Caenorhabditis elegans: one gene and its partner. The protein of the gene in region 1 purifies or fractionates together with the protein of each later gene. This does not show direct contact. Each region holds a gene or a part of one and is shown on either strand. Other genes may lie near its edges.

The links. Proteins that work in one complex are often made in the same cells at the same time.
Region 2: the proteins of str-166 (region 1) and unc-85 fractionate together in Caenorhabditis elegans (co-fractionation; one large-scale study listed by BioGRID). This does not show direct contact.

What each region holds. Positions count from the first base shown.
Region 1 is NC_003282.8:4,882,467-4,887,374, reverse strand, and holds str-166 (Serpentine receptor class r-10), read right to left. Parts: upstream 3,092-4,908; 5' UTR 3,080-3,091; coding exon 2,888-3,079; intron 2,844-2,887; coding exon 2,756-2,843; intron 2,521-2,755; coding exon 2,442-2,520; intron 2,277-2,441; coding exon 2,142-2,276; intron 1,954-2,141; exon of another isoform or gene 1,933-1,953; intron 1,840-1,932; exon of another isoform or gene 1,726-1,839; intron 1,282-1,725; coding exon 1,140-1,281; intron 1,108-1,139; exon of another isoform or gene 1,094-1,107; coding exon 962-1,093; intron 940-961; exon of another isoform or gene 919-939; intron 858-918; exon of another isoform or gene 839-857; coding exon 661-838; intron 601-660; exon of another isoform or gene 596-600; coding exon 513-595; downstream 1-512. Other genes in the region: T08B6.1 (60S ribosomal protein L35a), read left to right, coding at 17-307.
Region 2 is NC_003280.10:4,700,140-4,703,782, forward strand, and holds unc-85 (putative histone chaperone asf-1), read left to right. Parts: upstream 1-1,929; coding exon 1,930-2,041; intron 2,042-2,090; coding exon 2,091-2,557; intron 2,558-2,605; coding exon 2,606-2,756; intron 2,757-2,825; coding exon 2,826-2,923; 3' UTR 2,924-3,080; downstream 3,081-3,643. Other genes in the region: scc-1 (Sister chromatid cohesion protein 1), read left to right, coding at 1-178, 224-658; F10G7.9 (C3H1-type domain-containing protein), read right to left, coding at 3,345-3,487, 3,618-3,643. UniProt on the Caenorhabditis elegans protein: Histone chaperone that facilitates histone deposition and histone exchange and removal during nucleosome assembly and disassembly.

The DNA.
Region 1 (4,908 bases):
ATCCACAACTTTTAAAATGACTCCACAAGCCATCAACAACAATCACACCAGCGAGGAGGCCGAGATGGCTCTCTTAAAACTTGCTCAATGTGCCAGCGCTCTTGTCCTCTCCGGATTCAAATTCCGTAACAGGAAAGTCACAGTTACCACAAAGAGGACCAACAAGCCAGGATTCGGAAAGACAACGGCTTCACGTTCACAATGTCATGCGAAGCCACGTCCGGGACAAAGAGTGACAATTGTCAAATATGTCAATGTTAATGCTACAGTAAATGTCTTTAAGTCAAAGCGTTCTGCTCCGTATTAAATTATTTCCGTTTTTATTGGAAGTGTGAAACTGAAGCAAATTTTCTCCTGTTTTATTTTTCTCCGAGTCAATTTTATCTGTTTTATCAAGTTTATAAACAACAAGCTATTTTTTTTGAAATTACTACCAATTGGTTTCCGATTGACGTACTTTCCAATTTTTCTCTCTCAATTAAAAAAAATTTTATTCAGTTCTCAGAAATATTCTATACAGTTTCTGAATCTCTTTTGATTGTCGACGAATCTTCTATTCGAGAAGGTGGAGAACATCGGAAGCAGTCGAATAGTTCTGAATTAATTCAGGTTATATTCTTTGTTTAAATCAATTTATTGAAACAGCAAAATTTAACTCACCAATAAACGCATTTCGATATTCTTGTACTATAAACATAATTGGAAGTGGATCGACTGCTGGATACAAAGCATACAGGTATGTAGTGAGATATGACCAACTTCCGATGTCAATATGAAAAAGTGGAGCACTGAACAATGCTCCCATTGGCATGAAGAACAAGAAGATTGGGAGAAATGTCTGAAACCTCGAATAAAAATTTATATAATTTCAACTGTTTTGATGATGTAGTAAATTTGAAACTTTATTTTTTCTTTCGTTGTTCACGTCGTTCGTCTTTCTTGTGTCTTTCAATTAACCAACCTGCACCAGTAATGCCTTGTACAGCTGCAACTGTAGTCGTTTTGTGTAGTCACATTCTCCTTGTTCAATCAATTTTTTGATTTGTGAATGGCTCTTCACCCCGGCAACAAGCATTACTGCGAATGGAATTACCTGAATTGACAATAATAATTATTTGGAAGTTACTGAAAATTCTTACCATACTGAAAGAGAGGATGACATAACTGATAAAAATCTTGATATCCAAATTAGGAACTCCATGTTCATCTGCCGGGTAAAATAATGCTGCAGAGTAGACGGTCTCATTCATGTGGAGACCAAAGTTTTCCAATACTGCTTCCCTGAAAAAAACTGAATATAATAGTCAAATGTTGTTGGAAGTTTTGTATATAAGTTTTATTCAGCTTTAGAAAAATTTCTATGAAGTTTAATTTTTAAAAAGAGGGCCAAACTGTGATGTGAATTGTGAACTTCTATTCAAAAAACGAAATACTATTCTGGCCATAATGAATTGCATGACAATTCAATAGAAAATGCCATAAACAGCTATATTTTTTACGAGAAAGAAATCGACAAAACTTTTTCAAAAGATTTCACAATCTTAAAAGCAATTATCATAGCAGTAAAATTCTAAATTTTGCATGAAACACAGGTTCAATTAGATTTAGTGATTTGTACAAGACCGTCTAACACCACCACCAATAATAATGTGTGGCGGAACCCGGGAAGTGTCGTGTACTATCCAAATAGCCCTTATATAAACGACCCGTTTTTCCATAAATCTCGTTCTTCCGAGAACATATACTAAAATTGGAACAATACAGAGAAGATTAGCATGGCCCCTGCGCAAGGATGACACGCAAATTCGTGAAGCGTTCCAAATTTTTTGTGAAATTTTGAATGAGGAAAATGCGGTACCAAATTTGAAAATTTCAAATTGTGTAGTTTGTATGATGACCCAGCATTGTTGGAAGATTTATCAACTCGCGGATTCAAATCGCGGATCAAATCCAATACTTTTTGATTTAATTGGGGATAATAAATGCAATCCGAAACAGTGTTTTTTTTAAATTTATAAATTAAAAATTGGGCGCTTAAAGTGTATTTGGATTTGTTTGAATGTAGTAGCAAAAATAAAAAGTCTAATATTTTGAAAAATTATTTTTCTAAAAAAATATCTTGATCTTCAACAACTTCTTACTTGATATATTCTGTTGTTTTATCATTTCTTCTATAGTAGAACCAAGAAAGATGAAACCAATTAATACCGCCAGCGATTGGAATCAAGAACCACATAAACAAGTAGGTTCCGGAGAAATATTTTAGGTTTCCTTTTCTGAAAAATATTATTTACTGAATTCGACTGAATGTTTGATTTTTTGAGATCTAACCAAAACAAAATGAGCTATAAAAAGTGAATCAAATCAACACAGTGAATTTTCAGAATTCCTAAAAAAACACCAACTGTAATATATTTTGTGAAACATGAAAACATTGTTACCTCTCCAAAGCAAAAAATCTATAAATGAAATGAATTGCAATCAGGAAAGGGGTCACACCCCCACAACCACATAGGATGCCTGAAATTAAAGTGAAATAAATTAAATTTATCAATTCAGATTTTCAAGTAGGCACGAAAAATGTCTACCTGCCTAGAGAACAGAATCAGCTTCAATCGGCTAAAAAAAATTTCAAGACCAAACTTGAATTATCATTTTTAAATGACTTTTTTTTTAATCTCAAAGTTATTTAAGTATGGTTTGTAGGCAGGCAGGCAGGTAGGCATTATAGTGCCTACAAGTGCAGACAACTTACTCAAAGCTATCTGAGCCATCTCCACTGTAAACGGCCAGTCTTTGATGCTCATTATCATGAAGAAACATGATCCGTAACTGTGGATGAACTGCAAACTTGAAAATTAAAACAAACTGAGTTTAATGAACTTACCGGTTGCACAATCATATCAATCACTGCAAAAACCATAGAGAACGTTGAGAAATATATCATGAGTGCCTTGTAATTTCCCATTTTCTTCGGAGATTTTGTGATTATCAAGTAGATCAGTAGTGAGTTGAAAACGATTGCACAAATGAGTGAAGAACATTGAAGGAGGAGGTTTAAATTGTTCGAAATTCGCATTTTGACTGATCACCTGATAATTAATAAATTGAACATATTATCAACGATTATTAGTAATATTTATGAAACCGTTTTTTATTGTTGAAATTTTTAATGTTTTTTAACGCAGATTTCTGGAAAATGTGGTTTTTCCAGAATGTGACGTCACAATTATTTTGCAGGGCGACTCTAGTGGAAAAACATCCGTGACGTCATTCTTAATTTTTAAGCAGAGAAAAAAAAGATATTGTAGGAGAAAAGTATTTGCAATTATGACGAGAACATGAAACTGTAGAATAAAAACATTATGTGTTAAATTAGCCAATTTAAGAGCATGATTTGTCACATTTTCTGGACAGCAAAGGGAAGATCAATTTTATTAATAAATTAATTTAATATTCTATTTCAGTAATTTTACTTCAAATTTCACGAAAAATATAAGCAAGAAACGGAGAAATAAATCACTATCTCGTAGATCAATCTACATTAAGCAAAATACAAAACCTTATTTTCCGCTCAAATTGCACAAAACCTAATTTTCTAGAAGCTGTTAAAATGTGAATACAAGGAACAATAACAAAAGATATTGTTTCGGTAGCTATACGAAAAAGGAAGGAAATTCATCAAATAGCTGTCTAGAGTGGGGATAAGAGACAGAAGAATGTGATTCAGAACTGCAAATACGTGGTATTCTGTGAGATACGTTGAGTGCGGAAGTGTGAATAATCAGAAAAAAAGGAAAAACACTGGAAATCTCTTAAAATTTAATGTTGATACTTTATTAGCGGATGTCAGTGCAGCTGGAATTTGTCAACATACTGAAACAATATAAAATTTTATTGGCGTTTTAGAAAATTCGCGGAAGGCACGTGAAAAGGCCTACGCGCCTGCCAGCCTACCCCCTATTCATGCATTTCTGTTTATGGCTCTACACAATTTACTTTGTTTAAAAAGTTCTTTAATTGAAAATTGTACTATTTCTTTTTAGGTCAATCAGAATATTCTTGTGTTCGAAGTAGAAAAAAATTTGTAAGTTTGAAAATGAACATTTATGAATTTTTGTGGTGAGTTTTTTGGAAACAAAATCTGAATTTATTGAGAAAACGAATGAAAAGTAAAAATGTATTTAAAAAAGTAGAAATTAGTTTTTTTTTCCAAGTTAGACTGAGCTATTCAAAACTTCGTTGCAAAAAAGTTTTTTAAAAAATTTAACTGTTTTACCTTCATGATTTAAATCAGACATCCCACTCTCATTAATAAGAATTAAAAATCCAAATGTTTTCAAAAAATTTCCGTTTCACCTTTTTAATTTCAGTATGTAACTGTATAAGTTTGTATATTCTTCTGGTCATTTCTTTAATTCGATTTATAAAAAATTCTAATTAAACATTTCTTCTGTATATTGATATGGAAATGTATTGAAAATCACATAAAATAAAAGAAAAATGTTTTTGCAAATGTGGGAGTAACACAAAATTACATACAAAATGAAAAATATATGATGACGTGGGTATTTTATATGAAAAACAACATCTAAAAATTGGGCAATCTATCCCATGCTCACATTTCCCATGCACACATTTCCCATGCTGACATTTTCTCCCGTGCATACAAAATATTCCCATGCTTACGCCCAGTAGTTCGAGTACTCCCATGCCTACAGCTCATTTTTTCCCTTTTTTCCGTTCCCATGCTGACATTCTCATACATACATTTTTTCCCGTGCATACAAAATTCCCATGCTTACATCCAGTAGTCGAACGTTCCTATGCCGACATTCCCACACATACATTTGTTCCCATACTTACAAAAATGTATTCCCATGCCGACATGGAACAGTTTTGTGCTCC
Region 2 (3,643 bases), on another chromosome or scaffold:
AGATATTCAAGCGCAGGGACCAGCCGTTGATGAATTCTTTAATGATGTGCGCATGGATGATGATGATGACAGACAACCAGCTCAGGAAATGGACTTTGGTGACAACTTCGATTTTCCACAAGAAGTAGAACATCAAGAGTGTGCTCCGATCCCTATCCAGAGTGGATTCGCTGGAGAGGTAATTTTTGGTGCGAATTTCAACTCTTAAAATATTATTTTACAGAACAAAGAGAACGAGGACGCAGAGGATTGGTCTGATCCGTTCGGTTCTTCAAATTCCAGCAGACGTGGCCAGCTTGAAGCCTATGGATTCGGAAATACTTCGACCTACAAGGAAGACGATGGCAAATGGGCGAAACGCGCCAAGCACATTCTAAAGAAAGTCTCCGCGGATATTGAGACTTCGGGACAAGCGGACTTCTCATCTGTCACAGCAACTGCCAAGAATCGCAAGCAAGCTGCAGAGCAATTTTATTCGTTGCTTACCCTGGCCAAGTCTCAAGCAATAAGTGTTGATCAATCAGAGCCATACGGAGAGATCGTAATTCGTCCAGGAGCCAATTTCAAAGAAGCATGTCCACTGAGCTCTCCGAAACCGATGGGACTTGGAAATACAATGGAAAATTCCACTATGAGAACCCCAATGAGACCAGTTTAATCGTTTTAGCTTATTATTATTACTCGCCATGCATAGTTTAACCTCTTCATTGTATATGGTATCTCGATTTTCTTAAAAGCAAGTATTATTTTTATTCCACGATTATTCATATACGGATATTATTTTTGCGGTATTATTTGTTCGAAAAGTACGAATGTACTATCTTTTTCTGTAAATAAAAAGCATCACGGTTTTAATGTTCTTGTTAATTGCTCAGGTTCCGATTAGTCGAGAGAAGAATAGCGAAAAAAAAAAGATTAACTCGGCTCTACTCAACTTCAACGTTTCCGTGTACAATTTCATTCATTCCATCTAGTTTCAAGTGATTTGAGATTCGCTTTCTTCGTATGAAAAAATGACTACATAATTATGAAACTTGGTGAATTTCATCTACAAACGCGTAAACGTTATTAAAAAAGCTGTTAAAATCTGGAAATTACATTTTTCCATAACTTTCAAGACAGGACACTCCGCTGCATTAGAAAATGTCTTCGAGACTAAATGTACGGATTTTACTAAATTTTGAGGCAATTCCGAATAATTTTTGCATTTCAGGCCCACCGTGAAACATTCACGAGGGTACGCGCAGAAAGAGAAACGCAGAGGGGGTACGTTTTCGTAAGGGGATTTTTTCGTAAGGAACGCTTTCAGTAGGGCAATGTGCGGCGCGCCTTTTCGCAAGCCCGCCGCACAGTCCTTCGCAATCGATTCGAAATCGATTGAAACCCGTTTTTGTCATCGAAAATTCTGAAAATATCCGTATTTAGCTCGAATAAAACTAATTAATTTCCATTAAAAATCCGTTTTTAATTGAATTCCGTTCGAAATTTCCTGTTGGAAAAATAAATAAATAAATACGAAGAAGCGTGCGGCGCATTGCAAAAAGCCGTGCGGCGCATTGCGAAGGACTGTGTGGCGGGCTTGCGAAAAGGCGCGCCGCACATTGCCCTACTGAAAGCGTTCCTTACGAAAAAATCCCCTTACGAAAACGTACCCCCTCGAAACGCAGAGAACAAAATGCAAGCGCGCTCCACCGGTACGCGCCAATCGCCACCATTTTAACTTACATAATTGCGGGAATTTTTGATTTCTCATTTTTTCTCATCATTTGCGGATTCATTTTTGCAATTTCATTTACCTAAAATTGATACACTTTTTGTTAAAAATGATTTTTTTTTCAGTTTTATTTTGTTTCATGCCAATACTGTTGTGAATTGTCTTTTATTTTGAAAAAGTGGGCTCCTAAATAATTAATTATATTTTTCTTTCAGATGGCTTCCCGTGTCAACATTGTTCAAGTACAAATTCTCGACAATCCTGCGATGTTTGTCGACAAATTCAAGTTGGAGATCACATTTGAAGTTTTTGAGCACTTGCCGCATGGTAAGAAAGAGGAAAATATAAACTCATCGATAATAATGATAATTTTCAGATCTCGAATGGGAATTGGTCTACGTCGGATCCGGAACATCCCGAGACTTTGACCAAGTTCTCGATTCAGCGCTCGTTGGTCCAATTCCAGAAGGACGCCACAAGTTTGTGTTCGACGCGGATCATCCGGATATCTCGAAGATCCCAGTCGATGATATCGTCGGTGTCAGCGTACTTCTCCTGCGCTGCAAGTACAACGATCAGGAGTTTATCAATATGGGATGGTTCGTGGCAAATGAGTACACCGAGGAAGAGCTCAAAGAGAATCCCCCATCGCAGCCACTCATCGAAAAGCTTTCCCGCAAAGTCGAAACTGAAGATCTTCGCATCACCACATTCCCGATTCGCTGGACTGATGAGGATCCGGTCGCAGAGCCTGTCGAGGATGAGGCTAACAGAGTATTCGCGGAAGATGACCTCATGCCTCTGAATGATGATGGCCAGGAAGATGACGATGAGGAGGAAGAGGTGAGAAAATGAATTTTACTTATTCAAAAATTAAATAATTTTATTCAGGATGATGACGAGATGGAGGCCAACGCTGAAGAAGTGGATTTGAACGAGAGCTTCAATGAACGATTGGCCAATGCACTTGACGGGGCCGAACAGAAAGGCGCAGATGAGAAAATGGAGGACGATGGAGCAAATGAGGATGTTGATATGGCTGGTAAGTGTTACTTGGTTTCTCTAACCCCTTCTTGTTTCGTGATGTGTGCTTCTCACCCTGTAATTATAGATGACGAGCCTGGCGTTCAGATCAACACTGACACGAAAGTTCCGGAATCGATGGCGGAGCCACTCTCAGACAAGACAAACAACGAAATGGTCCAGTGATTTCACTTCCAGTTAATTTATATATTTTGAACTTATTTTTATTCCCACCCGATTTTCAGTGACTGTCAAAAATTCACATAATTCGTTCTTTCATTTTTTTTCTTTTCAAGAATTTTCACTTTGAATGTTTTCCGAATAAAACTGTACAGTGTCATTCATTCAATGTTTTTCTTAAAACAAACAACTGAATTATATAAAACTGGTTTATTGTGATTGTACTATATATATAATACACCGGAGTAAAATAAACAGGCAAATTGATATGACAGTTTGAACGTCAGCTTGATTTGTAGAGATCACACCGTTTCAGTAAAGAAATTGATTTAAAAAGAAAATAACTGGAATTTTTAAAAATGTCTAGCGAGTTCTACTTTTGATTTTCCTCGATTTTTACTACATCCTATCCATTTTCTCGTCCGGTTCATCGCCGATTGGCGAAAAAAGCGAACAACTTGCTTTTGTATTCTGGTGTCTGACGAATGACCACATTGAAGAATTGATCCATTAGCTTTTCAAATTCTCGGAATTCCGGTAGAAAGTGCAATGTTTGTTTGACAGCCGGCTCTGAAACGGGCGAGGATTACGGTAGCTACGGGTGACCTGAAAAGTTAGATAATCCTCCAATGGGACGAGTGGGAATCAATGAAAGACACGGGGGGAAGTATAACAGAGAATAATCGGCGTGTAGAAGAACCTATGTCGGATTCGTTGTATTTAAAA